Macaca mulatta: one gene and its partners. The protein of the gene in region 1 binds, or shares a complex with, the protein of each later gene. Links are inferred from orthologs where the notes say so. Each region holds a gene or a part of one and is shown in the gene's direction. Other genes may lie near its edges.

The links.
Region 2: SF3B5 (region 1) and ARMC7 share a complex: the UniProt entries of both Homo sapiens proteins name them as parts of the minor spliceosome. The link is inferred for Macaca mulatta from reciprocal best matches to the Homo sapiens genes SF3B5 and ARMC7.
Region 3: SF3B5 (region 1) and SRRM2 share a complex: the UniProt entries of both Homo sapiens proteins name them as parts of the minor spliceosome. The link is inferred for Macaca mulatta from reciprocal best matches to the Homo sapiens genes SF3B5 and SRRM2.
Region 4: SF3B5 (region 1) and CWC15 share a complex: the UniProt entries of both Homo sapiens proteins name them as parts of the minor spliceosome. The link is inferred for Macaca mulatta from reciprocal best matches to the Homo sapiens genes SF3B5 and CWC15.
Region 5: SF3B5 (region 1) and RNF113A share a complex: the UniProt entries of both Homo sapiens proteins name them as parts of the minor spliceosome. The link is inferred for Macaca mulatta from reciprocal best matches to the Homo sapiens genes SF3B5 and RNF113A.
Region 6: SF3B5 (region 1) and EFTUD2 share a complex: the UniProt entries of both Homo sapiens proteins name them as parts of the minor spliceosome. The link is inferred for Macaca mulatta from reciprocal best matches to the Homo sapiens genes SF3B5 and EFTUD2.
Region 7: SF3B5 (region 1) and CRNKL1 share a complex: the UniProt entries of both Homo sapiens proteins name them as parts of the minor spliceosome. The link is inferred for Macaca mulatta from reciprocal best matches to the Homo sapiens genes SF3B5 and CRNKL1.

Annotation. Positions count from the first base shown.
Region 1 is NC_133409.1:49,347,796-49,351,134, reverse strand, and holds SF3B5 (splicing factor 3B subunit 5), read left to right. Parts: upstream 1-1,698; 5' UTR 1,699-1,799; coding exon 1,800-2,060; 3' UTR 2,061-2,391; downstream 2,392-3,339. UniProt on the Homo sapiens protein: Component of the 17S U2 SnRNP complex of the spliceosome, a large ribonucleoprotein complex that removes introns from transcribed pre-mRNAs.
Region 2 is NC_133421.1:84,790,854-84,795,717, forward strand, and holds the start of ARMC7 (armadillo repeat-containing protein 7), read left to right. Parts: upstream 1-1,778; 5' UTR 1,779-1,851; coding exon 1,852-1,942; intron 1,943-2,025; coding exon 2,026-2,169; coding exon of another isoform or gene 2,170-2,201; exon of another isoform or gene 2,202-2,573; intron 2,574-2,874; exon of another isoform or gene 2,875-2,908; intron 2,909-4,864. UniProt on the Homo sapiens protein: As a component of the minor spliceosome, involved in the splicing of U12-type introns in pre-mRNAs.
Region 3 is NC_133425.1:4,056,088-4,060,241, reverse strand, and holds part of SRRM2 (serine/arginine repetitive matrix protein 2), read left to right. Parts: coding exon 1-52; intron 53-144; coding exon 145-177; intron 178-360; coding exon 361-411; intron 412-577; coding exon 578-670; intron 671-1,311; coding exon 1,312-1,510; intron 1,511-2,563; coding exon 2,564-4,154. UniProt on the Homo sapiens protein: Required for pre-mRNA splicing as component of the spliceosome. As a component of the minor spliceosome, involved in the splicing of U12-type introns in pre-mRNAs.
Region 4 is NC_133419.1:95,762,452-95,767,186, reverse strand, and holds the start of CWC15 (spliceosome-associated protein CWC15 homolog), read left to right. Parts: upstream 1-1,651; 5' UTR 1,652-1,744; exon of another isoform or gene 1,745-1,763; intron 1,764-3,070; 5' UTR 3,071-3,078; coding exon 3,079-3,209; intron 3,210-4,095; coding exon 4,096-4,208; intron 4,209-4,517; coding exon 4,518-4,606; intron 4,607-4,735. UniProt on the Homo sapiens protein: Involved in pre-mRNA splicing as component of the spliceosome. Component of the PRP19-CDC5L complex that forms an integral part of the spliceosome and is required for activating pre-mRNA splicing.
Region 5 is NC_133426.1:126,364,666-126,368,538, reverse strand, and holds RNF113A (E3 ubiquitin-protein ligase RNF113A), read left to right. Parts: upstream 1-1,883; 5' UTR 1,884-2,098; coding exon 2,099-3,133; 3' UTR 3,134-3,240; downstream 3,241-3,873. UniProt on the Homo sapiens protein: Required for pre-mRNA splicing as component of the spliceosome. As a component of the minor spliceosome, involved in the splicing of U12-type introns in pre-mRNAs. E3 ubiquitin-protein ligase that catalyzes the transfer of ubiquitin onto target proteins.
Region 6 is NC_133421.1:69,232,014-69,235,670, reverse strand, and holds part of EFTUD2 (116 kDa U5 small nuclear ribonucleoprotein component), read left to right. Parts: intron 1-698; coding exon 699-781; intron 782-1,875; coding exon 1,876-1,962; intron 1,963-2,198; coding exon 2,199-2,325; intron 2,326-2,524; coding exon 2,525-2,612; intron 2,613-3,232; coding exon 3,233-3,351; intron 3,352-3,477; coding exon 3,478-3,572; intron 3,573-3,657. UniProt on the Homo sapiens protein: Required for pre-mRNA splicing as component of the spliceosome, including pre-catalytic, catalytic and post-catalytic spliceosomal complexes. Component of the U5 snRNP and the U4/U6-U5 tri-snRNP complex, a building block of the spliceosome.
Region 7 is NC_133415.1:63,971,314-63,976,183, forward strand, and holds the start of CRNKL1 (crooked neck-like protein 1), read left to right. Parts: upstream 1-1,628; 5' UTR 1,629-1,763; coding exon 1,764-1,814; intron 1,815-3,780; coding exon 3,781-3,933; intron 3,934-4,870. UniProt on the Homo sapiens protein: Involved in pre-mRNA splicing process. As a component of the minor spliceosome, involved in the splicing of U12-type introns in pre-mRNAs.

The DNA of each region.
Region 1 (3,339 bases):
CCCAACAAAGTTTAAACAGCAGAATAAAATAATTTTCAAGTTATCTCTCTCCTAGTAAAGTTTTCCTTCCCTTCCGTTGTAATAGAGTTATTTAACCATTTATCAAATTTTTGTTTTGGATTTTTTTTTTCAAGTAGCTTCTACCCATGTAAGGAAGTTATTAAACCAAACAGTAGGATATAAAGCGATAACAAGGAAGAGATGTATAACCTACAAAGAGGAAGGAGAGTTTACATCTGTCTGGAGCAGCCAGAGAAAACTCTAAGGAGATGCATTTGAGCTGCCTTTTTGGGAGATGTATTCACCAAGGGAACAGACATTCCACGTAGAGGGAACAGCTTGTACAAGAAAATGGGGACGGGCACAACAGGTAACACGGAGAAGTACAGTTGTCCCTCAGTATCCGTGAGTGATTTGTTCCAGGACTCCCATGGATACCAAAACTAGAGGATGCTCAAGTCCCTGATATAAAATGGCTTGTATTTGCACATATGCACATTCTCCTGTATAGTTTGTCTCCAGATTATTTAACAATACCTAATACAATGTAAATGCTATGTAAATAGTTGTTATACTGTATTGTTTAGGGAATAATAACCTTAAAAAGTCTACACTTCAGTACAGACTGACTTTTTCCCCAAATATTTTCAATCGGGTCGGTTGAATCCACAAAACCCACTGAATGGAAGGGCCAAGTAGGGTGCAGTGAGGCCTTGGAGGAAGGATATCAAAATAAGTGGCTAGAGGGGAAGGAGGAGCTTGAGGTGGAAGCCGGAATGTGTGGGAATTGGTGCTGTACTTGCTCACCAAGCACCCTGGTTAGAGCTGAAATAACTCTTTTATGCCACAGACTCCTAAAAGACATAGCTGGGACCAGAACTTGTGCCTGCCGACTTCTGGGTAATCCATCCCTGGTTGTGAAGGGATGGCTGTGCTACCATGATAGCTTTGGAAAACACGGAGAGTTTATTTTCGGGGCTGCTTGTAGTCCAGTCCTACTTGGGTTTCCCATTTCCCATCAGCCCCAAGCCACCCACGGATGCTCCCCACCTCCCAGACATCACCCTCCACTAGGTCCCCAGATCACTTTTAAAACGCGACCAGGGGCCTGGCGCAGTGGCTCACGCCTGTAATCCCAGAATTTTGGAAGACCGAGGAGGGAGGATCACGAAATCAGGAGTTCGAGATCAGCCAGGCAAAGACAGTGAAACCCCATCTCTACTAAAAATACAAAAAAAAAAAAAAAAAAAAAAATTGGCCTGGCGTGGTGGTGTGCGCCTGTAATCCCAGCTACTGGAGAGGCTGAGGCAGGAGAATCGCGTGAACCCAGGAGGCGTTAAGTTGCAGTGAATCGAGATCGCGCCATTACACTGCAGTCCCGGCAACAGTGCGAGTCTCTGTCTCAAACAACAAAACGAGACCAGGAGTTCCAGAAGACTACGAGCACGAACTCCCAAGACCACAAGTCCCAGCATGCAAGGCTCCCTGTTGGAAAAGGGCTTCCCATAGCCACCAAGTGGACCATCATGCAACGCTCTCTGACGGGGCGGGGCTCTCTACAGGGGCGACACACTTGTGGCGTCGCCTCGGCAACTCCAATTCCGTGACAGAATGTGCTTCCGCTTCCGCCTTTGAGCCCTATGAGCGAGACTTACGCTACTTAGTCGTCGTGACGCCATTCTTCTGCGACGGCGCGGGCCTGGAGCTTCCGCACGGTGGCCTCACTCCCGCGTGAAACGCCAGAGCGGCGGTTTGTTGTCTGCGTCCTCTGTCCTGGGAACTAAGGGGAAAGCGGCGAGATGACGGACCGCTACACCATCCACAGCCAGCTGGAGCACCTGCAGTCCAAGTACATCGGCACGGGCCACGCCGACACCACCAAGTGGGAGTGGCTGGTGAACCAACACCGCGACTCGTACTGCTCCTACATGGGCCACTTCGACCTTCTCAACTACTTCGCCATTGCAGAGAATGAGAGCAAAGCGCGAGTCCGCTTCAATTTGATGGAGAAGATGCTTCAGCCTTGTGGACCGCCAGCCGACAAGCCCGAGGAGAACTGAGACTCTGCCTTACCACCACTGTGCGGGGCACCTCTCCCAGTGTTCCTCAGGTTGGCCAATCCCTTCGACTATTTCTGCCTCCAAAGGACCGGCTCTCCATGGCTCCTGCGTCTGGTACTTCCGCGTACAGAAGTGCTTGCCCGGGGAATCCCGCCTGACCTGCCTTCATGTGAACCCTTTGGAATAGCACTGGGAGACCAGCAGAACTCCTGAGAACTGTGCTGGTGAAGAGGGCCTAGAGCCGGCAAGCGTTTGAGAAGAGGGCGTGGCGCTGGAATGAGATGGGATTTGGCGTCTCATTTTTGGCTAATTGATTGTCATTGGCTTTTTCCATAAAGTTTAGAAATCATTAAGTCTCTTGGTGTGAACTTCCTGTGTTAGGGTGGAGGGCTCCTGAAAGACCCGAGCGGGAAATGGGTCGGGGGAGGGAGTGCATGCCAGTGTCCATGATCAGGTACTTAAATCCACCCTGTCTACCATTATAATTAATTCCCCGACTGCCACTTCTCCCAAGAGCGTTATTTTCAGGCCCACAATGCCTTCAGTATTGAAGTTTGTAGTTATTGTATCCCATTTTCTTTTTCTCCCGTTTTAAAAGTCTTTGCAGTCTTTGCTGTCATTGTCCTCCTTAGCCTCTTTAAAATGCATCCTTTCTTTTTCTTGGGAATTTGTGGCCATGTCTCCAGAAATGACAAGCTGGCAAGTGAGTTCATCCTTTCTATATTCAACAAATATTTGTTGAGCTCTATGTGACAGGCATTTTCCCATGTTCTTGAGGCTTACATTATGCTGGTGGTGGAGAAAGGAGGTCAAACACTGTAGACGTAATAAGTAAATGTTAGAAGATGCTGCGGGGAGGGGAGAACAATGTACGTGGTGTGGGTGGGAGTAGTTGGTAGGGCCATAATCTTAAATATGATACACAAGTTACTGAGATGGTGACATTTGAGCAAAGACTTTAGGGAAATGAGGGAAATAGCCATGCGGAAAACTGGAGAAATTGCTTTCCATGAAGAGGGAACTGCCAGTGCAATGGTACTAACACTGGGAGTATGTATGGTTTATTGGAGGACCTGCAAAGAGGCAAGCATGGCTGGAGGGGGTGAGCCAGGGGAAAAGTAGAGGGACAGGTAATGGAGGGGGAAACGAGTAGAGCCTTGTAGGACAATATATGAACCTCTGAGGAGCCATTGGAAGGTTGTGGGTTTTTTAATTTTAGTTTTTAAAAATAAGAGATGGGTCTTGCTATGTTGGCTAGGTTGGTCTTGAACTCTTAGCC
Region 2 (4,864 bases), on another chromosome or scaffold:
TGCATAGGGCAGGGGCTGACCACAAGGACCTGAAACCTCAGAGGTGAGGCCTGCTTCCAATGGGGCTGCAGCTGGCTGGAGCGTGTAGGCCACTCTGCCTTCACCCAGGCCCAGGACTTAAGATATGGTCCTTGCCTTTGTCAACCTTAATAGGAGAGGCTCTCTCAAAGAAAATAGTATCTATTTGGGCATAGGGCATTGCAAAGGTAGTATCCATGCCATAGTAAACTATATGGGTATTCAGGGAGGTAAAGAAAGAAAGGCTTTAAGGGAAAAAATAGGATTACATAATTGTTTTGAGATAATTATCCTTAGGTAGAAGAATTAGTAACAAGGGTGACCAGTTCAACGTTGGACAGGAAAGTTGCTGGGCAGATGGCCATTCAAAAGTATGTTTTGTGCAAGGTTGGGGTTTTTGCAGAATCTTTGTGATAGTTTTCATTATCAGATATTTATGCATGAGAACCCTCTTGTCATGGTTTTCTCCGACTCTGTCCGGGTTTTTTTGTTCTGTTTTTTTAACACAAGTGACTCCAATTAGATTAACAACTTTTGCATTCTCAGGACACTCACAGCCTAAGCCACCTCTCTACCCCTACGTTGTCAAACGCGATGGGAGTGTAGTAAGGCCACCTCCTTCCCTGGTGCTTTGTTCCCTGTAACCACGAGTAGTAATCCATCACACACCTGCTTCCCGAGAATCCTCGAGAAGGAATCGGCCGAAGGGCTTCAGCATCCAGAAAGCCCCGAAAGCGCCACAAACAAGGCTCTTCCTCCGGCTCCCCGGTGCTGCCCCGGGCGCGCGCCATCCACCCGGCTGACAAAAAGCACCAGGACATGACCCCGTCCCCTTTGATTTCTGTCCAGAGGTGGCGGACTCACCTCGGGGCTGGGATAGAGGACGGGTCGGGGTCGCTACGCTTTTTGCAAAAGGGTCAAAAGACTGATGGGGGTGGGTAAGGAGCTGACGCCCGCGCTCTAAAGGGGCGCCCCGCCAGCCATGGGGATCCTGGAGGTGCTTCTGCCTCGACGTCCTCCCAACATGGGTGCTGCCAGACTCCGTTGCGCTCCTGAGTTGCTCCTCACGTCATTCCAGCCGCCCGACATGGGTGCCTCACTTTCGGCTTCTGGGCCACGTCGGGGCGGCGGAGGACCCGGGGGGCCGGGCGGGAGAGTGGGAAAGGTGGGGCGGGAAAGCCGAGAGAGGCCCTCACCCGCCTTCCTGTTGGCGGGGGCGGCAAGTGGGTTTCTTTCTTGCGTTCAGATTTTGCAATAATTTGCAGCTGGACATAGGATATGGGAGACAAGGCTGCTCCTCGCAGTACACCCACCCACGCCCATACCTCCCTCGGCGAAGCGTGTCGCAGCGGGTTCCAGCGCAGGCTAAAGAGCTTCCGCAGCCAGAAAACCGAAAGCGCGCCGCGCACGCGCGCCAAGGAGTTCGGCGACGGCCCCGCCCTTCGCCTGCCTCGTCCCGCCCCTTCCGCGCCTTGTAGGGTGGGGACAGCGCGGCTTCCGCCGGGAGCCTGGAACCGAGCCCGGCAGCCGGGGGCTGGGCGCCAGTACCCACTCCGCCAGCCCCAGCCCGCAGACGGTTCCCTGTCTCCCGCGCCCCAATTTCGATTTTCAGACCCAACTCCTACAGGATTCTGAGACCCCGGCCCATCTCCCCACATTCCATTTCCAGCTGCAAATTACTGCAGAGTCTGAACCCAAGAAAGAAACCCGTTTGCCGTCCCCGCGTCTTCCCTCGCCAGACAGGTGGAGAGTGGGTGAGGGTCTCGCTCGGCTTTCCCCCTGCACCTTTCCCACCCGCCCGCCCGTCCCTGGGGGTCCTCCGTCACGCCGGCCATGGCCCAGAAGCCGAAGTTGGACCCCCACGTCGGGCGTTTGGGATACCTGCAGGCGCTGGTCACGGAATTCCAGGAGACCCAGAGCCAAGGTGAGAGCCACGGTGGGACCAGGTGACAGGGTCGGCTGTGACCGCCGCCCGGACCTGGCTCCAGTGCCGCTTTCCCGTTGCAGACGCCAAGGAGCAAGTCCTCGCCAACCTCGCCAACTTCGCTTATGACCCCAGCAACTACGAGTATCTGCGGCAGCTGCAGGTCCTGGATTTATTTCTCGATTCGCTGTCGGAGGAGAACGAGACCCTGGTGGAGTTTGCTATTGGTAAGGGCTGGGCCCGTTCGCTAGATGGCTAAATGGGCCGGGGTGAGGTAAGTGAGTTACAAGTGAGTCCTTGGGGCCTGGCGTGGTGGCTCACACATGTAATCCCAGCACTTTGGGAAGCCGAGGCGGGGGGATCACCTGAGGTCAGGAGTTCGAGACCAGCCTGGCCAACATGGCAAAACCTCGTCTCTACTAAAAGTACAAAAATTAGCTGGGCATGGTGGCGAGTGCCTGTAATCCCAGCTAAGCGGGAGCAAAAATTAGCCGCACACAGTGGTGTGCACCTGTAGGCCCAGCTACTCTGGAGGCCGAAGCAGGAGGATTGCTTGAGTCCGGGAGGCAGAGGCCAAAGTGAGCTGAGACTGCGCCACTGCACTCCAGCCTGGGCGACGGAGTGAGACCATGTCTCAAAAAAAGATGTTTTAAAAAGAGCAGTTTTGTAGCCAGGCGCGGTGGCACACGCCTGTAATCCCAGCACTTTGGGAGCCCGAGGCAGGCGGATCACCTGAGATCAGGAGTTCGAGACCAGTCTGGCCAACATGATGAAACCCCGTCTCTAACTAAAAATACAAAAATTAGCCGGGCGTGGCGGGCGCCTGTAATCCCAGCTACTCGGGAGGCTGAGGCAGGAGAATCACTTGAACCCGGTAGGCAGAGGTTGCTGTGAGCCGAGATGGCGCCACTGCACCCCAGCCTGGGCAACAGCGAGACTCCGTCTCAAAAAAAAAAACAACAACAATTTCAGGTGGGTGAGGTGGCTCACACCTGTAATGTCAGCACTTTGGGCGGCCGAAGCAGGCAGATCACTTGAGTCCCGGAGTTCAAGACCGGCCTGGCAAAAGCCCATCTCTGCTAAAAAAAAAAAAAAAAAAAAAAAAATTAGTCTGGCGTGGTGTCCCAGCTACTCAGGAGGCTGAGGTGGGAGGATTGCTTGAGCCTGGAGGACGAGGCTGCAGTGAGCTGGGATTGGGCCACTGTACTCCAGCCTGGGTGACAGAACGAGAATCTGTCTTAGAAACAAAAGTAACTCATATTTAGTGTTTTCATATCAGGAGAAGCAGAGATGGCTTGCAGTCTGTAACTTACGGCTTCTTTTGTAGTTATGATCTTAAGACCTATTGATTTATTCACTGGGCAGATATTTACTGGGCATGTACCGTATATGTAAACTACTGCTCTAAATGCTGGAGTATGGTGAACAAGTTAGGGGAAGTGTTTGCCCCTCAGGAGCTTACATTCTAGTAGGGGGGACAGGTGGTTAGCAAACAAAAAAGATGATGCTCAGCAGCAAATAAATGGGGTGATGAGAAACAGCAGTAGAAGGTGGTGGTTACTTCTGTTTTGGCCATCATGAGAAAGGCATTTTAGCAGGGACACAGCATGGGCAAAGGCCTTAAAACAGGAAGGAGCCAGAAGGAAGATGAATGTGGCAGGATCGTTATAGTGAAGTGGAGAATGGCACAAAAAGAGGATAGAGAGTTAAGCAGCACCAGAGCTTGCCGGAGCTTAGATCTAGGCCGTGGGAAATAGTTTGAAGCAGACAAAATTTTGAGAACAAACAAAAATCCCTTTTTCAAGCCATGCACAGTGCTCATCTGTAGCCCCAGATAGGAGGATCGCTTGAGCCCAGGAGTTTGAGGCTGTAGTGTGCTACGATTGCATGATTGCACCTGTAAATAGCCACCGCACTCCAGCCTGGGCAACACGCGCGTGATCACCTGGCTGAAGTCTTGTCAGGCTTCTCCACTGTAAAATTACTCTTTCTTTCCCCTCTTTACGTATTATGTATTATACCCATTGGAAGGAAGTCACTACATAAATTATCTTAAATCTTTTTCTTTTTTTTGAGATAGGGTCTCACTGTGTCACTTAGGCTGGAGTACAGTGGTGTGATCATAGTTCACCATAAATTTAAACTTCTGGGCTCTAGCAGTCTTCCTGCCTTAGCCTCCCGAGTAGCTGTGACTACAGGTGGACACCACCATGCCCGGCTTTTTTTTGTTTTTAATTTGTTTTCGAGAGGATCTCACTGTGTTGCCCAGACTGGTCTCGAACTCGGCTTTTTTTTTTTTTTTTTTTAATTTGTTGTCGACACACGGTCTCACCGTCTTGCCCAGACTGGTCTTGAACTCCTGGCCCCAAGAGATAAATCGCTTGTAACCCTAAACAGACCCTCATTTCATAACACTGATTCTTGAAGGCCCCAACCAGGAATGCAAATGTTCCCCCTTCCGGTTTGTCTCATTGCCTCTTTGTGGTTTGTTTCTTTATCCCCTTTATTTCCTATAATCTAGAAATTGGGTTGAAAGTCTTGATAGGATCAAGTAACACATTTTATTTTATTTTATTTTATTTATTTATTTATTTATTTATTTTTTGAGACGGAGTTCGCTCTGTCGCCCAGGCTGGAGTGCAGTGGCGCGATCTCGGCTCACTGCAAGCTCCGCCTCCCGGGTTCACGCCATTCTCCTGCCTCAGCCTCCCGAGTAGCTGGGACTACAGGCGCCCACAACCGCGCCTGGCTAATTTTTTGTATTTTTAGTAGAGACGGGGTTTCACCGTGGTCTCGATCTCCTGACCTTGTGATCCGCCCGCCTCGGCCTCCCAAAGTGCTGGGATTACAGGCGTGAGCCACCGCGCCCGGCTATTTTATTTTATTTTATTTTTTGAGATGGAGTCTTGCTCTGTCACCCAG
Region 3 (4,154 bases), on another chromosome or scaffold:
GCAGCTCTCCTCGACGGGAGAGAAAGAAAAGCTCAAAGAAGAAGAAGCACAGGTACGAGGTGTGAGTACTTGAGTGATTGGAGAAGGCTTGCTGAATTCAGGCAGAGGTGTTTTTTATGTTTTTTCTTCTCTTTTTTCCGACAGGTCAGAATCCGAGTCCAAGAAGCGTAAGCATAGGTAAGAGCTCTTTAACTCATTGGGGGCACAGTGGCATGTAGAGTGGTGATTTCTTTTTCTTGAAGTGAAGCTCAATACCTTGATCTTTCTCCTGTTAACATTCCCTAACTCTTTCCATTTCACTTTTGGTTTTATTTCCTTTTTTAAAAAAGTTACTTTTAACAATCTTTCCTTATTTCTCAGGTCTCCCACTCCAAAGAGCAAACGTAAATCTAAGGACAAAAAGCGAAAGCGGTGAGTGAATTTGTGGGGAATTTGCTTAGAAAGTAAGTGAACACCACCTTAGTGGGAAGGGGTTGAGTCAGTTATGTCCCTAACTGGTAAAAGGTTGAGGGGTAGGTGAGGAAAATCCAGGGCAGGTACAGCAGTACCCTGAGCTGTGGCGGTGGTCTTCCTTCAGGTCTCGAAGTACAACACCAGCCCCCAAGAGCCGCCGGGCCCACCGTTCAACTTCTGCTGACTCTGCTTCCTCCTCTGATACTTCCCGCAGTCGGTAAGGGGTAGTCCAGGAGGAAGGGAGGGAGAGGGAATGATGGGTTAATTAATTTAATATTTATTGAGCGCCCACGGTGTGCTAGGCGCTGCACAGACCATTCGGAAGACACGGTCCCTGCCCTCTAGGAGCTGACAGGCTAAAGCAACAGGATGGACAGACATATACATTTCCCCTTCTCTTTTTTTTTTGTTTTTGTTTATTTGTTATTTTTTGTTTCGTTCTGATGTATATGGACTGCCAGAATAGGGGGGGTGGTGGTTTGTTCGTGGTGTCTGGGGGAGGAAGGAATCCTTACCCTGGCTTCCTTAATCGGGGAAGGCTTCCTGAAGGAGGTGGGCTCAGAGGTGAGTTGTGAATGAAGCGGGTAGGGAGTGGGCTGGGTGGATGGTTTCGGGATGTTTGGGGGAGGTGAGTGAAGGGGTAGAGGGAGAACACTGTTTGGGATTGTGTTGGGAAGAGAAGAACCAAAGTGGACTGTACTTGCATTTCAGTGAATGATTTGAGTTATGCGACTAAGCAGGCTTTTTGGAAGAGGGTTGTACAGTTGGAAAAGGTGGATGGGAGTTGGGGAGGGGGTTTCCTGTTCTCCCTTTGAGCTGATTTCCTTCCTCTCCCCCATCCTCAATTAACTCCTGCAGGTCTCGAAGTGCTGCAGCTAAAACTCATACAACTGCCTTGACTGGGCGAAGTCCTTCCCCTGCTTCAGGGCGACGAGGGGAGGGAGATGCACCTTTCAGTGAACCAGGTACTACCAACACACAACGGCCTAGTAGCCCGGAGCCTGCTACAAAACAGCCTAGCAGCCCTTATGAAGACAAAGATAAAGACAAGAAGGAGGTATGTTACTGAGTTGGTGATGTTCATTGGATTGCAAGTATATAGATTTAGGATAAACTTGTGACATGAAAGGGAGAGGTAGTAACTTACTAAAATAAATTCGGTTATTTTTTTCTGCATTGATCTCCCAGTTTTCTTACTGTATCTGCAGAACTTGTAGCGTTGTTACTAGACTGAATTGTGAACCCTTTAGAATCAAATCTCACTGGATACTAATAGGTTTTATATTGTATCTTGTTTATACACAGAACTGGAAGAAAAGTTGTATTTTGTCTGTGTACGCCGTGTAATGCCTCTAGTTTCTTTTCTTTTTTCATTAAATGCTCGTTGTGTCTCACTAAAACTGTTTAATCCATTGGGGTGCCACCAATAGTTTGAATGAAACACTGGAATAGTCTTCAGTAGTTTTCTAATTTTAAGTGTTAATCATTTCCTCTTGCTTTAGTGATTACAGTGTAAATTCTTGGCCTCTGTCATCAATTTTCCATGTCATCCAGGATTACCTTTCCAAATTACAAGTTGGTTGATCTCAGAAACTTAACTGCTTCCTTATTGCTTTTGAATTACATTTAAGGCTTTTAATAATTTGGTCTTTTTCTCATTTCCTGTACTCTTTCCATCCTGGTCTGCTTTTCTACTCTTCAAACAAATCGTGTTCTCACATCTTTATTCATGTTGTTTCTTTTCCTTTAATAGAGTTATTCTTAAAAGGTGAAGTTGCCATTTGCTTTAGGAAACTGCTTATTTTTCCATTTAAAGATAGTTTTTTCCGCTTTGATAACATTTCGTAGTGGTATTTGTTGTTAAATGTAGTAGTGTGTTAGTTATTTGCGTTTAGTGTTTCTTTCAGTTTTAAGATTCTCAGATTATCCATATCTTCATATGTTTTCCCCACTGTTCTTTATATAATTCTTTGTTATTGAATGAAAGTGATTGCTTATGGTCAGGGGATGTGTAAAAGAAAAGTTATTGGAAAGGGTGTTGGGATCTTAGGAGTGATGTGAAGTCTTGGCGTTTATGAATCCCTATCCCTACTCTCTCTTTCACTCTTAGAAATCTGCAGCTCGACCTAGCCCCTCTCCGGAAAGGAGCAGCACAGGCCCAGAACCACCTGCTCCCACTCCGCTCCTTGCTGAGCGACATGGCGGCTCCCCACAACCACTTGCAACAACCCCCTTAAGCCAGGAGCCAGTGAACCCCCCATCTGAGGCCTCTCCCACTCGGGGCCGTTCACCACCTAAGTCTCCTGAGAAACTTCCCCAGTCTTCTTCCTCAGAGAGCAGCCCACCATCCCCTCAACCTACCAAAGTTTCTCGGCATGCCAGCTCTTCCCCAGAAAGTCCTAAACCTGCTCCAGCTCCGGGGTCCCACCGAGAGATTTCTTCTTCTCCCACATCCAAGAATCGCTCACATGGCCGAGCAAAACGGGATAAATCACATTCTCATACCCCTTCCCGTAGGACGGGGAGGTCCCGTAGCCCTGCCACCGCTAAGAGAGGGCGATCTCGGTCTCGAACCCCTACAAAGAGAGGTCATTCTCGATCCCGATCTCCCCAGTGGCGTAGGTCCAGGTCTGCACAGAGGTGGGGAAGATCTAGAAGCCCCCAGCGACGTGGCCGCTCTAGGTCTCCTCAGCGACCAGGCTGGTCTAGGAGCAGAAATACCCAGAGAAGAGGCAGGTCTAGGTCAGCAAGGCGAGGGAGGTCCCACTCTAGATCCCCAGCCACTCGGGGCAGATCTCGTTCTAGAACACCAGCCCGGCGGGGCAGGTCACGCTCTAGAACACCTGCTAGGCGGAGATCACGATCCAGAACACCCACCAGGCGTAGGTCTCGGTCTAGAACACCAGCCCGGAGGGGCAGGTCTCGGTCTAGAACACCTGCTAGGCGCAGATCTAGGACCCGATCGCCAGTACGACGGAGGTCTCGTAGTAGATCACCAGCCAGGAGAAGTGGCAGGTCACGCTCTAGAACCCCAGCTAGACGTGGCCGCTCACGCTCCAGAACCCCAGCCAGACGTGGCCGCTCACGCTCTAGAACCCCAGCTAGACGCAGTGGTCGCTCACGCTCCAGAACACCAGCCAGGAGAGGGAGGTCTCGATCTAGGACACCAAGACGAGGAAGATCCCGCAGTAGAAGCTTAGTTAGACGTGGAAGATCTCACTCTAGATCACCTCAAAGAAGAGGCAGGTCTGGCTCATCTTCAGACCGGAAAAACAAATCCAGAACATCTCAGAGAAGAAGCAGGTCCAATTCGAGCCCAGAAATGAAGAAATCTCGCATTTCTTCAAGGCGAAGCAGATCTCTGTCTTCACCACGGTCCAAAGCAAAATCTCGTTTGTCTTTGAGGCGCAGCCTTTCAGGATCTTCCCCATGCCCTAAACAAAAGTCACAGACGCCACCCAGGCGCAGTCGCTCTGGATCCTCCCAACCTAAAGCTAAATCTAGAACGCCACCTAGACGCAGTCGCTCCAGTTCTTCTCCGCCACCTAAACAGAAATCTAAAACACCATCAAGACGAAGTCATTCCAGTTCGTCTCCTCATTCTAAAGTGAAATCTGGAACACCACCAAGGCAAGGGTCCATAACAAGTCCCCAGGCCAATGAGCAATCTGTAACGCCACAAAGAAGGAGCTGTTTTGAAT
Region 4 (4,735 bases), on another chromosome or scaffold:
CACAAGTGTTGGAGGGGTGGGGGTAGGAAAACTTCACTGTGATACCTGAGACATGAAGGATGGTGATACAGTTATCTTGGGGCACAGGCAACAGAGAAAAGCTAGTGCAAAGGCACTAAAATAGAAGGAATCTTGCCCTGTTTCGTAAAACAGAAATGCCCAGTTGGCTGTGTCTAGAGCTTAGTGTGTAAGCGAGTGACTGATTGGAAGTGAAGTCTGGAAGTTAGGCAGGAGCCAGACTCCGTGGCGTCTCAGGTCACATTAAGAAATGTGATTTTTATCCTAACTGCAGTGAAATTTTACACAGGATAGTAACACCATTTGATTAATTTTAAAAGATCACTCTCTTGGCTATATGCAGCATTGACTGTAGGATAAAAGATGACGCAGGAAGATACAATAGGAAACAATTACAATCCAGGTAGGAGATGGTGTTGGCCAGGACAAGGGTAATGGCAGTAGAATAAAATTTCGGGTAAGTTTTAAAAGTAGAATTGGTAAGACCTGTAAATGAACCGTATGTGAAAAGTGAAAGAAAAGGAATTTAAGTAGGCACTCTGGGATTTTGGTTTGAGTAACTAGTATGATGATCGTGTCCTTTAGTGAGACGTGTAAGACTGGAGGAGGGATACCTTTAGTAAGAAAAATCAAGATTTTCATCTTGAACTCTATGAGTGAAAGGGCTTTTTCTGCTTTTCTTTCTTCATTTAAAAGTTGCAAAGAATTTAGAGGTAAGAAAGCATTTAAATATTCAACTTTGTGAGTTCTTTATATTTTAAACTAAGTTGGGGAAGTTGAATTTTCATTTGTTTAACAAATATTAATTGAGCAGCTACTATATGTCAAGGTCTATGTGATGAGATACTAAGATTAGCTAAACAATCAAGATCTCTGTTCTCAGGATTTTTTTTTATGGAAGGGAGGAGACAGGATTGGTGGGTTTTTGGTTTTTGGGTTTTCTCCTTTTCGTTCTTATTAAAACTTAACACTTAAGTAGCCATCTTAGTAATTACATCTTGTGCTCCTGGCAGTTGGGCCCACCGTTCTAAACGCTGTCGTAAATATTGACATCTCCCCTCCCACTAAAACTAACGTTTTTTAAATAAAAAATTTTAGCAAACATTACGAATACAACCTTTGCTTTGAAGTGTTAATATTTTTGCAGGAATGTACCTTTGTAAAGATCGTGGTTGCCCCGTACATATTTGTTCTTTCTTCATATCCAATTAAATGAAAACACTAGTTTTTCCGAAGCCCAACTCTCTAGGTTTGTTGGTTCTAGCTCAGGAGAAAGGATGGAAGCAGGAGTCGTTGGATTTAAACAGTTTGGTGTAATCCTTTTCCACGCTCTCTCCCGCTAGCCGGGGACGTGGTGTCGGCTACCCGGGGCTTTCCGTCCACGCAGTACCGGAATGAAGGAGTCTGGGAGGGGGTCGGGGACGGAAAAGACGGAAGAGACATTAAGTAATTGGTTCTTGAAGGTATAAAATGATATTTAGGGTCTACTCTAAGGCACTGATTTCAAACGCCCGCCCCCTGGGCCGTTTCGGCCCCGCCCCTTAGTGCCGTTACGCCGACTTCCACTTCGGCCACTGCGGATTGGTCGTTGCTTCCGCCTCCGAAGCGCTTGGATTTTGCTTCCGGGTCGTAGGCGCTAGCCCTGGGCGCAGAGGTTTCTGGGAGCCCGGAGTCGTAATGGCGTCTGTATGATCTTCGGAGATTGCTGCATCGGACCTCGGCCAGTGTGAGCGGCAGGAGGATAGGTTATCTTCCTCATCCCGGTGGGACGGGAAAGGGCAGTTGGGGTCGGAGTCGGCGGCAGAGTGCAGAGTGCGGGCGGTGGAGGACCTAGAGCAGCGGGCTAGGGGCGAAACGGAGTGCCTGTCAGGCGCGTCCGGAGCTCTCGGGCCGCAGAGGAGATCGCAGCATAAAAGGCAGCGCGCCTACCGCGTAAAGCGAACCCCAGGTCCTCCTTTCACTACCCCTCGCACCCCTGCGGCGCTGGGCACGGGTTAAGGGGCAACGAGTTTCTGGTTATAGCCAAAGACTAGCTCACGAGAGGCCGGAGTGATAATTCCGTTAGTGTGTGGGAAGGGGCGGACTCCCAGCTCCAGATAACCCCGTTTCTTCTTTGTATACATGTCTCTTACTCTTTTTGAAAATTAGGAGAAAGCACTCCCCCCCCCCAAAAAAATCCTCCCAGTTCGCCCACCCTCCCCACACACTTGCTTTTCCGACACTAACAGGGTTTTAATGACTGCATCTGCTAGGCAGTATTCTTGTGACTGCTCCAAGCAGAAAGTAACTTAAGGAATGGGTCCCTGATTTTTGTCATCAGAATCCTCTGGGGCTGAGGTTCCTGTTTTGTTTTTGTTTTTGTTTTTTTTGAACAGTCCTTAAGTTATAACCCACAAACGATCTGATTTATAATATGATGCCTGTTGTAGGAGAAAATTGGCTCAACAAAAGGTTAAGAATTTTTTTCTATGTACCTGTCATTGAAGTTTAACACACTTTCCTTAGTAACTTTTTTCTCAGACACTTAGTAACTTTGTCAGTGATATTTTTTGTTTGTTTTTAGCTTTTGTTTCTACTAGCCTATTTGCTATTGTGTGAAGTTTAGATAAAATGCAAACCTTAGAGAGTCTGGTAGAGTAAGGTTGAGTTGGAAATTTTTAAAACTTAGTCATGGTGGTACTGTATTTTTCAAGGCTTTTGACATGTCAAGTGTCATAATTCTTATAGTAATCCTATGAGGAATATCTCCATTCCACGGATGACAGAAAGTTAAGCCAGGTGACTTGCTCAAGCCCATATAGTCAGAAGGAGAATAGGGATGCAAACTCAGATCTTCATGACAGAATTTTTTGTACTAAGACAAGCCTGAGAAGCCCTATTCGTTGTATGGCCTAAGCCTCATAATTTGTTTTCCTGAAAACTTTTGTTTAAGAAGATTAAGCAGGTTTAGGGGAATGAGTTTTAGAATTTATTTCACTAGTATGGATATTAATACTCTGTAAAATGAGTGTTTGTATTGTTGTAAATAACTTGATTATATTTTTCTTCAAAGCATAAAAGATGACAACAGCAGCCAGGCCAACCTTTGAACCTGCAAGAGGTGGAAGGGGAAAAGGAGAAGGTGATTTGAGCCAACTTTCAAAGCAGTATTCAAGCAGAGACCTACCCTCTCACACAAAGATAAAATACAGGTAGTAAGACTTTCTTTTTTTTCTTTCTTTTTTTTTTTTGTTGAGACAGAGTCTCGCTTTGTCGCCCAGACTGGAGTGCAGTGGCCGGATCTCAGCCCACTGCAAGCTCCACCTCCTGGGTTCACGCCATTCTCCTGCCTCAGCCTCCCGAGTAGCTGGGACTACAGACGCCGGCCACCTGCCCCGGCTAGGTTTTTGTATTTTTTAGTAGAGACGGGGTTTCACCGTGTTAGCCAGGATGGTCTCGATCTCCTGACCTTGTGATCTGCCCATCTCGGCCTCCCAAAGTGCTGGGATTACAGGCTTGAGCCACCGCGCCCAGCCTCTTTTTTTTCTTGTTCACAAAACAAGACCAAATCTGTTAAATGGCATGGTCATGATATAGTAGTATGTTCGAGTTATGTCACTTATCTATTATCATAGGATTAGAATGCAATAGGATGTTTAACACTAAAATTCTGCCCTGTGGTTTTAAAATGCAAAATTCCTACTAACCAGAAATTTTCGTATGTAGATACAACAATAAATAACAGAAATAATAATGCCTCAGAGAGATTATGCACTATCAGCACCAGTCAATATATTAAAAGTATTACTGTTAAGTTCTGAGTTGATAATACCAATAAAAATTAAAGACATTTTAATCACGTAAAGCCTTATTATAGGAAAATGCGTGATTGAATTTGGACTTCTTGAAATATTGGGAACATCACAAGAGTGGCTGTTAGTAACTTTCAGATTAGATTATGATCTTATCTACTTCCCTTTTTTATGCTTGAAGGACAAAGTCTCATTCCTGAATTGTCTTCCATTACCACAGTCGTGTGTGTGTGTATGTGTGTGTGTGTTTAAGTACCATTTTTGCCCTGGTTTGTTTCTACTTTAGACAAACTACTCAGGATGCCCCTGAAGAGGTTCGTAACCGTGACTTCAGGAGAGAGTTGGAAGAAAGAGAGAGAGCTGCTGCAAGAGAGAAAAACAGAGATCGTCCAACCCGAGGTACCAACACTATCCAAGACATTTATCTCTAAAATTATGTTGTTGATAGTTTTTCTTTTATGTAGCAACTGGAAAATATTAACCATTTGTTTGCTTTTACAGATTGATGTGAGCTGTAATACTTTCTTAAGTCATTAGAGATAACAATAACAAATATTTACCAAAGGCTTATTTGCCCAGGCACTGTGGATGTGATTTCACTGTGGATAATGCTTTCAGTGTGGGCTCCTCGTGCCCACAGGTCCCTAAAACATTTTAAGAAATGCAGTATTTGTTTTACTAAGTTAAGTGATTTTTGTTTCCCCTCAGAACATACAACCTCCTCTTCAGTGTCAAAAAAGCCACGGTTAGACCAGATTCCTGCTGCCAACCTTGATGCAGATGACCCTCTAACAGATGTATGTTTTGTTTTCTCCTTTCATCTCTAATAATTGATTTACCATGTTTTTCTGAAATACTTGTTATGCCTTTGGCTTTAAGAAGTGACATATATTTGCTTGCTGTTATTCAAATATAACCCTGACCTC
Region 5 (3,873 bases), on another chromosome or scaffold:
AAATGTTTGTCATATATAAAACAGACAAAAAATTAAAAGTCTAGAATATATAAAGAACTATAGATTGAAAAGAAAAAAGACAAAACAATAGAACAGGCAAAGGATATAGGCAACAATCCACAGAATAAGAAATATATGACAGTAAGAAAAACTAAAAAAAATAAGAAACATAAAAGATTAAATATGTAAAAAGATGCCAACCTCACTAGTAGACAAGAAAATGCTAGTTATATATTAGCATTGTATGACCCTTGGCAAGGCATTACCAGAACCCACCTCAACCCTGGCAGAAGGCTGGCATCAGAGTGGCTTCTTACCTTTGACACATAGTGACGATTAACTCCAGAGATGCGCCTATCTCTTTCCATCAGATTCCAGTGATACCCAAAATGAGCAATCCTTTTTTCCTTCAAATAAGAGACAATTATTGTTGCAGTTTATAAAAGTGAGTGACCCAGTTGATGGATATTACAATTTTTAGAAGGGACATTCTAGAGAAATGGAATCATCATTCAAATAAAAATGCAAATTAGTAGTACAAGAACAGAATCTCCTAAATAAAATCAGACCACTACACTTTAGGATTAAGTTGGTGACCGTGACTTCTTACACTATTTTAACCAACATGAATTTCTTTTCCTTTTTAAAAAAAAGAAAAAAAAAAGAAATATCTAGTTGTTGCCTTTTGGGACACTAAGAAACAACAGCTGTAGATCACACGTGGACAATCACAAATTCAAAAAGTAAATAAATTTATACTCTGTACTCTAGAGATGATGTGAAGGGCTAAGAGGGGAAAATGAATCCTGATGTAAAACACAAGACCTTGCAGTAAATTCCTAAACGCTTGCAAGAGAAAGTGGGGAATAAAAAAGTCAAGGGTGGCCGGGAGCGGCGGCTCACGCCTGTAATCCCAGCACTTTGGGAGGTCAAGGCGGGTGGATCACCTGAGGTCAGAAGTTCGGGACCAGCCTCGCCAACATGATGAAACCCCGTCTCTACCAAAATAAATAAATAAATAGCCGGGCGTGGTCCCGGCTACTCAGGAGGGTGAGGCAGGAAAATCTTTTTTTTTTTTTTTTTTTTTTTTTGAGACGGAGTTTCGCCCTTGTTGCCCAGGCTGGAGTGCAGTGTCGCGATCTCGGCTCACTGCAACCTCCGCCTCCTGGGTTCAAGCGATTCTCCTGCCTCAGCCTCCCGAGTAGCTGGGATCACAGGCATGCGCCACCACGCTCCACTAATTTTGTATTTTTAGTAGAGATGGGGTTTCCCCATGTTGGTCAGGCTGGTATCGAACTCCCGACCTCAGGTGATCCGCCCGCCTCGGTCTCCCAAAGTGCTGGGATTACAGGCGTGAGCCACCGCGCCCAGCCAGGAGAATCTCTTGAACCCGGAAGGCGGAGGTTGCAGTGAGGGATTCTCAGGCTTGAGCCACCTCTTCTAATCTACCTTTCCGGCCCCCGCGTCGCTACTCTGCCCTAAGGCCCACTTTGATACACCCAGAAACGCTGTTTTTCACCAGAGCAGGATGTGGTTTCTACCGCGCTTCGTTTCGCAAGCCTCGGCTTCTAGGCAACCGGAAGAAAATAGAGGGCCGGCCTCGGAGAGAGGGTCCGCAGGCTGACGGACTCTCTGCCCACCATCCTTTTCAGAAATCAGCCAGTGGAGTCAGCCCCCGGGCCCAGGAAGCCGCCTTACCTTGCCCCCGTTAGTGAACCTCTGGATGTACGCAGTAGCCAGTCCTGGAATAAACAAGCACACGCCCATGGCGGCGAGTCCGGGGAGAATCTCGAACCACATCTCTGCCCCGTTATCTAGGCCAAAACCCTACTTCTGGGTCCTTGAAAGGTGACCGGGCTTCGGCTCCCTTCCCAGTAAGCCCCGCGGCCGCCCGCGAGCGGGGCGGTGCCACGTACGGCTCCGGAGGAAGCGACGGGATCTGCCAGGGCTCAAGAGAGGCTGGCGCTCGCGCTCTCGCAGTTCTCTTCCGTCAGTGTCTTTTGCTTCGACTCCCGGCGGAGCGCGCGACGTGGAGTAACGCGCAGAGGCCAAGTGCAACCCAGGCAGCGACGGCCGTTTCGGAGCTCGGGACTCTAAAATGGCAGAGCAGTTTTCTCCAGGGAAGACGGCGGATCAGGTGTGCACCTTCCTTTTCAAAAAGCCTGGGCGGAAAGGGGCTGCTGGACGCAGAAAGCGCCCGGCCTGCGACCCAGAGCCCGGAGACAGCGGCAGCAGTAGCGACGAAGGCTGCACTGTGGTTCGACCGGAAAAGAAGCGGGCGACTCACAATCCAATGATACAGAAGACTCGTGACAGTGGTAAACAGAAGGCAGCTTACGGCGACTTGAGCAGCGAGGAGGAGGAGGAAAATGAGCCCGAGAGTCTCGGCGTGGTTTATAAATCCACCCGCTCGGCGAAACCCGTGGGACCAGAGGATATGGGGGCGACAGCTGTCTATGAGCTGGACACAGAGAAAGAGCGCGATGCACAAGCCATCTTTGAGCGCAGCCAGAAGATCCAGGAGGAGCTGAGGGGCAAGGAGGATGACAAGATCTATCGGGGAATCAACAATTATCAGAAATACATGAAGCCCAAGGATACGTCTATGGGCAATGCCTCTTCCGGGATGGTGAGGAAGGGCCCCATCCGAGCGCCCGAGCATCTACGTGCCACGGTGCGCTGGGATTACCAGCCCGACATCTGTAAGGACTACAAAGAGACTGGCTTCTGCGGCTTCGGAGACAGCTGCAAATTCCTCCATGACCGTTCAGATTACAAGCATGGGTGGCAGATCGAACGTGAGCTTGATGAGGGTCGCTATGGTGTCTATGAGGATGAAAACTATGAAGTGGGAAGCGATGATGAGGAAATACCATTCAAGTGTTTCATCTGTCGCCAGAGCTTCCAAAACCCAGTTGTCACCAAGTGCAGGCATTATTTCTGCGAGAGCTGTGCACTGCAGCATTTCCGCACCACCCCGCGCTGCTATGTCTGTGACCAGCAGACCAATGGCGTCTTCAATCCAGCGAAAGAATTGATTGCTAAACTAGAGAAGCATCGAGCTACAGGAGAGGGTGGTGGTGCTTCCGACTTGCCAGAAGACCCCGATGAGGATCCAATTCCCGTTACTTAGCTGTCTGATAATTCTTAAATTTAAAAAATAAATATTTTGTTCTTTTGGAAGTCTTAATTCGTGTCCTTCCTTTGTAGAGACAGTGACAGAGAAGGCGGGTGGTGAAGTAGGGTCCTGGATTAAAAACCTCAAGGTAGGTATAATCAGGATTTTTAGCCCTAGGATAACCATTTTGCCTGTGTTTCTTTTCAGAACATTTTGGCATCAATTATAGGGGTGGGAGTAGTTTGAGAAAAGAGCTATAATTTGCTTGAAGTAGCCAAAGCTATGACGAAAGTAAGAACTCTGAGCCTGTTTATCATATCACATTTCTGTATCACTTAATGGTTTACAAAGTACTTTCATGCATTCTTTCTCTTGGGAGCCTGTACTACAAAATATACCGGAGCCAAGGTGTTGGGGAGAGGGGTTGCGTTTGGGGAATTGGTAGCTAGTACCACAGGCTTCACATATGGGAAATGTTCCTTGCTGTCTGGGTTATTTATTTATTTATTTATTTATTTATTTATTTTTGAGACGGAGTCTCGCTCTGTTGTCCAGGCTGGAGTGCAATGGCGCTATCTCAGCTCACTGCAACCTCCGCCTCCCGGGTTCAAGCGATTCCCCTGCCTCAGCCTCCCGCGTAGCTGAGACTACAGGCGCTTGCCACCACGCCCAGCTAATTTTTTGTATTTTTAGTAGAGACGGGGTTTCACCATATTAGCCAGGATGGTCTCCATCGCCTGAACTCGTGATCCGCC
Region 6 (3,657 bases), on another chromosome or scaffold:
AGGGAAGTAATTGCACAATTAACCCATGGGTGGTGATTAGGTCTCAGAGTGGGTGGTTTCAAGGAGAGAGTGGGAACTGTCTCTCCCGGATTCTTTGTCAAGCCTTGATGTAGCCCCTCAAACCGTATATTACTTGGCCTCTTTGTCCTAGTTGAGACGTATTTTCTCCAAGGCCCTGTGGAGACCCTCGGTACTCCTCTTAGACTCCTCTACTGATGTATCTAGGAAGCACTGGTGTCGCAGAAAACACTAGGTTTCCTGGGCAGCAGACCATGTTGGGGCTTCAGGGCAGAGCTTCACTCAGACGCTGTGGGTTGAGAATGGCACGGGTGCACACCAGTGGGTCTCTAGCACCAGCTCTGTCAGACCCATGGGGGTTGTTCAGTGAATGGTGGTGGACAGCCAAACGGATGCTGAGAGCTATCTTGGAAGACTAGAATTAAGGCCCTAGTTTGATATCCCACTTATTCTTGGCTCAGGAATCTAATTTCTTTACTACAGTAAATTTTCTCGGGCTTTTTGGTGATGGTTTGGACAGCTCTTTTAACCTGCTGTTGTACTTGTCACTTGTGCTGATTAAGGCAGTTGGGATTTTCACAGAGGTAGTGTCAAGGGGAGCTTCTGAATTCCCTTAGGTAAATGGTTGCCCTTCCAACAAAATTAGACCTCGCTTCAGTAATTTATTTTCTATTTCCCAGGTGGCTGACCCAGTTGTCACGTTTTGTGAGACGGTGGTGGAAACATCCTCCCTCAAGTGCTTTGCTGAAACTCCTAATAAGAAGTAAGCTGGGAGCACAGTGTCCCCGGGACTGCAGCCTCCAGGACACTCTCTCTCCTTTATCTTCCACCTCCACCCCCACCATGAGCACTGTGCACAGAGACCCCTACATCTCAGAATGGGGGGTGCTTACAATACTTGAGTTTCACTCCAGCCCTCTCAGCCCTTCTGCCTTTGAACGCAATGCCATGGGATTATTCACCTTGGATATTCCCAAGAGGAGTTTCATAACTGCCACTTCACCTCTATAAAATAACTATCTTAAAAGTTTACTCCAGGCCGGGCGCGGTGGCTCAAGCCTGTAATCCCAGCACTTTGGGAGGCCGAGACGGGCGGATCACGAGGTCAGGAGATCGAGACCATCCTGGCTAACACAATGAAACCCCGTCTCTACTAAAAATACAAAAAAATTAGCCGGGCGAGGTGGCGGGCGCCTGTAGTCCCAGCTACTCGGGAGGCTGAGGCAGGAGAATGGCGTGAACCCGGGAGGCGGAGCTTGCAGTGAGCCGAGATAGCGCCACTGCACTCCAGCCTGGGCGACAGAGCGAGACTCCGTCTCAAAAAAAAAAAAAAGTTTACTCCAAACCTTACTCGCTTTTTGGTTTTTGGGTTTTTTTTTTTTTGACACAGGCTGGAGTGCAGCCTCGACTTGCTGGGCTGAAGCAGTCCAGCAGCTAGGACTGTGGGTATACACCATGCCATCTGTTAATTTTTTTATTTTTTGTTGTCCAGTCTGGTCTTGGACTCTTGGGCCCAAGTGTTCCCCCCACCTTGGCCTCCCAAAATGCCGGGATTACAGGCGTGAGCCACTACGCCCAGCTGTTTGTTTTTAAGAGGCAGTGTGTTGCTGTATCACCCAGATTGGAGTGCTGTGGTGTGAGCCATAGCTCACTGCAGCCTCAAATTCCTGGGTTTAAGTGATCCTCCTGCCTTGGCCTCCCAAAGTGCTGGGATTATAGGTCTGAGCCACCACACTTGGCCCCCGTGGCTTTCACCGATATTACTTCCTCAACTGTCCATCTTGTTACCCTTTTCTTAGGAATGCCTCTTCTGCTGTTCTGTTAGCCGTCCTTACCACCCATTTCCATTCTGACCAGGAACAAGATCACCATGATTGCTGAGCCTCTTGAGAAGGGCCTGGCAGAGGACATAGAGAATGAGGTGGTCCAGATTACATGGAACAGGTGAGAGGAGGGCTCTGACACCAGGATCGAAAGGAGGCAGGGATGCCGCAGCTTACCTGCCGGGTCTCTAAGAGCACACATCTTTCTGGGAAGCATTTATGTCTTTGCCGTTGCTCTTGTTCTGGGCACAGTGGGTAGGATGAGGTGACTGTCTTCCAGGAAGGGAGGGTCTATGGCTCCAGGACCAGCAATCACAGAGCTGGCCGACAGCTCCATTGTCCCCCTCCTTTCCCCAGGAAGAAGCTGGGAGAGTTCTTCCAGACCAAGTACGATTGGGATCTACTAGCTGCCCGTTCCATCTGGGCTTTTGGCCCTGATGCGACTGGCCCCAACATTCTGGTGGATGATACTCTGCCCTCTGAGGTACAGCAGAACTGATGGGAGCCGGGTGGCAGTCTCTTACCTCTGGAGTGGAAGAAACTACAAAGTGTTCTTTTCCCAAGAGTATCTTGTGTCCTCTGATGAAGGACAGTATCCCCTTACAGGCACATCTATCTTCTCCCTCTAAACGCTTCAGCTGTTGTCAGGGTGACTGCTAAGGAGGCCTCATGTTTCTCTGTAGGTGGACAAGGCTCTTCTTGGCTCAGTGAAGGATAGCATCGTTCAAGGTTTCCAGTGGGGAACAAGGGAGGGCCCCCTCTGTGATGAATGTAAGTCCACCAGCACTCCCCCACCCCAGTCCTCGAGGGTCCTTGCAGCCAGGCATATGAGTGGGATGGGCTCACCATCTTTAGGACCCGGCAGGAGAAGCAGCTTGGGGTACACAGGACCATCCCGTGTCCTGGGCCAGCTTCTTCCCTTCTTCCTTATCCTGGTGGTGTAGCCTGGAAATTTAAGTCATTTCTAAACTGTCATTTGCTCCTCATTTCTGAGAAGGGTTTGGCCTTGGACATATTTGAGAAGAGATACCAAGAGGATGATGAGATTGGAGTGGTTAATAGACCTTGATTGGGCTTCGTGCACCAAATGTACAATTCTGGAATTCTACATCCACAAAAATGTAAATATGTGCAGAAGAAAGAAATAAACTTCTAGGAAAGCTCTATGTCTGAGCATGGCCTGAAGCAAACACTAAGAACCTATGCTTAACTTCTGACCTCTGCCATGGGCCTTGCTTATTCAGTTAGAACGCCCACCTCCCATGTGATTTTTGTATCATGTCTTTCATGACTGCAAGACAGCTGCAGTGTTGCAGGAGACTGCTACTCCACCATGGCCCTGTGACAGGCCCAGAACCTCTCCCCAGTCACTGCCTCCACCTCCTTTACAGTGATTCGGAACGTCAAGTTTAAGATCCTGGATGCAGTGGTTGCCCAGGAGCCCCTACACCGGGGTGGGGGCCAGATCATCCCCACAGCCAGGCGAGTCGTCTACTCTGCCTTCCTCATGGTAAGAGAATGGGGCTGTAGGAGACCATCTGCTTCGCTGGACTGTGGACTAAGTGAAGGAACAAGTGGGACTATAGGCCCTCAGCCTTCCCTAAGCTGAGGGACCTTTCTTCTTGCTCTGCTGCAGGCTACTCCTCGTCTGATGGAGCCTTACTACTTTGTAGAGGTCCAGGCCCCTGCAGATTGCGTCTCTGCAGTTTATACTGTCCTGGCCAGGCGCAGGTGAGCAGCCCCAGCCCCAGGCATATTAGGAAGAGTGCTGAGAGCAAGAGCAGAACAAGAGTCACCTCGGCTCCTGCAGGGAGGA
Region 7 (4,870 bases), on another chromosome or scaffold:
GAAAGAAGTGGGATGAAAGATTAAATGCTGGGAAATAAAGTAAACACGAATGTGTATCTACAAAAGCATTGATGGCAAAAAGTAAGAAGGATAATACATTTTTCCTTAAAAAAAAAAAGAGAGATGAACTGAATTGCCAGACAACAAAAATGAGAGATAAAAGGATGGTGATCAGAAGCAAAGTATTCTAACATGTTTGTACGTTTGAGCAAAGGCAACAGATGATTAAATCAATGATTCATTTGGCAAATCAATTGTTTACAGTTACACATTTAAGGAAAATCATTTCAAAGAAACATCTTTTTAATATATTTTATTTTGTTAGGTGGCTTTATGAAAGTGATATAAAATCTTCTCTATTTAAATTTTGAAAAGTGAGATCAAATATCTAAATAATATGGTTAATAAAGAGTTATGGCAAAAATACTGATGTTGGTTATAACTGCAGTTCTAGAAATCTGCATAAATCTTTTTTTGAAAGCAATAGCTGCATTGGTAGACGTGATATTACTACATACACAATATATATTTTCCCCAAAAACCAAAAGAGCCTTGCAACTATGAAAATTATTCTAACAAATGTGCTGCCAAGTCGTGTCATTGTACATTTGTCCAAACTCATAGAATGTACAGCACCAAGAGTGAACCCCAACATGAACTACGAACTTTGAGTGATAATGATGTGTCAATGTAGGTTCATGATTGTAACAAATGTACCGCTCTGGTGGAGGATATTTTTGAGAGTTGGAGGCTGTTAAAGTGGGGAAGAGGTATAATAATTGATGGCAGGAAGCTGTTGAGGGGGGAAATCTCTGTGCCTTCCACTTAATTTTGTTGTGAACCTAAAACTTCTCTAAAAATTTGTCTATTAAAAAAATTCTTTTAACTTTTGCTTAATTTTTCCGTTTTTGAGGGCAGGTTAAGTATTATAATAGCTACATTTACTGAGAATTTGTCTTTAATCCTAGTGAAACAGATGTTATTACCCTTGTTTTATAGTTGAGGACACTGAGGCTAAGAAAATTTGAGTAATTAAGGCACACACAGAATTTAAACATATTTCTTATCACAAGACTGAGTTGTTTTCTAGTTACTCTATTTTTTACTTTCATTTTGTCCTAATATCTGGCTTCTAAGTACCTTCTGTTATTTTTAATTCCAAGCCTTAGAGTTAATTATTTGGGCACAACTGTCCAGAAACCAGAAACGAGGGGGCGTGGACCCAGAGACTACAAGACCTAGAATGCAATGCAGAGCCAGACAGCCTAAAAGGGCGGCAGCTCGCCCCTTCGCATACTGGGAATGGTAGTTTCCTCGCTCTCCCTTCGTTCCCCCGCCCCTCGAGCATCCAGATTGGAGCTTCGACCCTACTCCCTTGCAGGGCGCCACGGCTAGACAGAGCCTCTCTTCCTTGCCTGGTCATCCCAGTTCTGGAGGCTGACCTGGGGATACGCCCTTGACGCCCTGAACCGCAGTCCTCGCGTCGCTGCTAGTCAGGCCGGCGCTACCCACCTCACGCGCAGCTCCAGGACGCCGCACTCCGCGCGCTGCTGTAAGGAGGACGCGCAGCCTGGTCCCCATGGAAACGGTGCCACGTCCGTCACGGCGCATGCGAGAGGTCAAAGGTCAGCCTGGCGAGTTCCGCTTCCGATTCCGGGATCCTGTTTGTTGTCGGAAAGCTTTGTGGTTTCGGTGAGCTCTCAGACCGCGGATTTCTAGCTTTCGTGCGGGAGACAGGTGCCCCGAGGTCCGCTGCTGCAGACATGGCGGCCTCCACCGCGGCCGGGAAACAGCGGATTCCCAAAGTGGCCAAGGTAGGCGATCGCGAGGGGCCTTGTGGGAGGTGGCCCAGGAGAGGGGCATCCCTCAGCCCTGGGGGTGCCCCGGGCGGGAGACAGTGTTCCCGCCGGGGAGAGGGCCCACCCTGAGAGATGGAGAGGAAGGGTCAGCTGGTGGTGGGGCGCGGGCTCTTGTCATCGCGGAGCACGATGGGGCGGTTTTGCAGGGAGGAGGAGTGGAGTGGTTCAGTGAAGATTTACTGACCCAGGCACTGCACTGGGCGCTGGGAAGCTACGCTCGGACGCTGGCCAGAAGCAGTACTCAAAACACGAGTGTGTGTATGAGGACGATCTTGCCAGATGTTACTGAGAGGCAAAGTAGAATATGCCATGGGCGTGAATAAGGGGGTCGTATGAAGGGTTCCTGAGAGTAAATTTTGCTGAGGAAATGACCTTTAAGCTGAGACTTGAAGACTGAATAGGAGTTAGCCCAGCTGACAGCGGAGGGTGAGAATAGACGGCAGTAGTAGTATAGTATCATAAGTTAATTAAACAGTAGATTTACTATCTGGTATTTCCCTCGATAGCTGATACTTACGAAGTGCTTAATATGTGTCAGAATTTGTCTGAAGCCTTTACAGATATCCTCCCTCCAGTCTTTCTTGAGCCCAGATGACTCTCTTGAACTGGACCTTTACATAACTATTTGTCTGACTCGCAAAAGTAATGCATGTAGAGCAAGTAACAGTGTGTCTGGCACTTAGTGCTTATTAAATATGAGCTATCACCATTATCATTACTCCACACGTGGCATTAAATAACAATTTTTATAATTCAGCTGCGTACACTTTTATTGGGCATCACCGGTCCAATGGAAATACAGTGCACGGCACATGAAATTTTAAATTTTCTCCTATCTACATTAAAAAGTAAAAGCAGGCCGGGCGCGGTGGCTCACGCCTGTAATCCCAGCACTTTGGGAGGCCGAGGTGGGCGGATCACGAGGTCAGGAGATCGAGACCATCCTGGCTAACACGGTGAAACCCCGTCTCTACTAAAAATACAAAAAAAAACTAGCCGGGCGTGGTGGCAGCGCCTGTAGTCCCAGCTACTCGGGAGGCTGAGGCAGGAGAATGGCGTGAACCCGGGAGGCGGAGCTTGCAGTGAGCTGAGATCGCGCCACTGCACTCCAGCCTGGGCGACAGAGCGAGACTCCGTCTCAAAAAAAATAAAAAATAAATAAAAAAATAAAAAGTAAAAGCAAAGCAAAAAAAGTGACATTAATTTTGATAATATATATTTTATTTGAACTAATGTATCCAAAATATTATAATTTCAACATGTAATCGGTATAAAAACTGTGAGATAGTTTGTTCTTTTTTTCATACTTCATCTTCAAAACCAGTGTGTATTTTACATTTACAGTCCACCTCAATTTGTGCTCACCACATGTGACTCATAGCTACTGTGTTGGACAGCACAGCTCTAAGCTATGTTAGACTATAAACTTCTAAGACCTCAAGAAACTTACAGTCTAATGATGGGAACTTATTGAATAGTGCCTTTGACTTGAGGTTCCGTGAAAAACCATACCCACTTTTCCACCAGGGGCATTAAATAAGTTGAAGAATTCTGCAAATGCAGGTGGTAATGCTATTAATAAGATGTGCTACACATCTTGATAAACCCTCTGGTCAGAATTTTACCTACACGGCCTCAAAGTTTATTATTATACTCATCTAAAAGGGAAAACTTGGTATTATTTTTGCCACCTTTTTCTCTTGAGACTTTTACCTGTGGCTTTGTAGTAGATACCATGAATAAGAGAGAAAACATAGTATTTTTTTTTCTTTTTAGTCTCATGGAGGATGGGAACATGTCATACAAAGAGAGCATCTTGTGATAATACTAATGAAGTTCATATCCTAAAAAATGTATGTTTGTTTCTTAAACCTTGTGTGAAGAGCATCTACTAAAAATAGAAATGTCTTGTTCTTAAAAGGTGAAAAACAAAGCCCCGGCTGAGGTACAGATAACTGCTGAACAACTCTTAAGAGAGGCTAAAGAAAGAGAACTTGAGCTTCTTCCACCTCCACCTCAACAGAAGATCACAGATGAAGAAGAATTAAATGATTATAAACTAAGGAAAAGGAAGGTCAGTCAGTGTGGTATCTTTCAGTCCACTAATTGTTAAGAGTGTATCAGTCAGAGTTTGAAAAGCTGGTTGGATTCTGTAGGGCAAGGTGAGGTTAGTGTTCCTAGACACATGAATAATGCCTTCTGGTTACCAGATAACAGCATTTTTCTGAACTATATAAAATATGCCTTGAGTTGTCTGGTTAAAGTATAAAACAATTGAATCTGCATAATTTTTGGTACTGAATCAAAAATGGGTGGAAGTTTAGCAGGTGAAACAACGGACAACTGGAAGGGGGTATGCTTAGTAAGGCTGGACTGTGTACTTCTGTCTATACCACCTTCTGTGTTAAGAAATGAGATCTGGCCGGGCACTGTGGCTCATGCCTGTAATCCCAGCACTTTGGGAGGCCAAGGTGGGCTGATCACCTGAGGTCAGGAGTTTGAGACCAGCCTGACCAAAATGGTGAAACCTCATCTTTACTAAAAATACAAAAATTAGCCGGGCGTGGTGGCAAGTGCCTGTAATCCTAGCTATTCAGGAGGCTGACATGAGAATCGTAGGAACTCAGGACGCAGAGTCTGCAGTGAGCCGAGATCATGCCACTGCACTCCGACCTGGGCGACAGAGCGAGACTTTGTCTCAAAGAAAAAAGAGAAGAAAGGAAAAGGAATTGAGATCTGCAAAAGGACTATGAGAAGACTTTGGGATCTGATTTGACCTCTTCACTCTAGAATGTGGGACTGTTTTAAAGCATGAATTCTGTTATATATGAAATTCTGAACGTTACCAGAGGACTTACGGGTAATAGTCAAAATATTTTTTATTAGGGACAAGCATAGACTATTTTAAAGTATCAGTTAGTTGATTGTAACCTTCTGTAGTGGATTTCTTATTCCTCAAGGATTCCAGGATGTAATTTCTCTTAAATATGAACGAAATGAATAACCAGTTT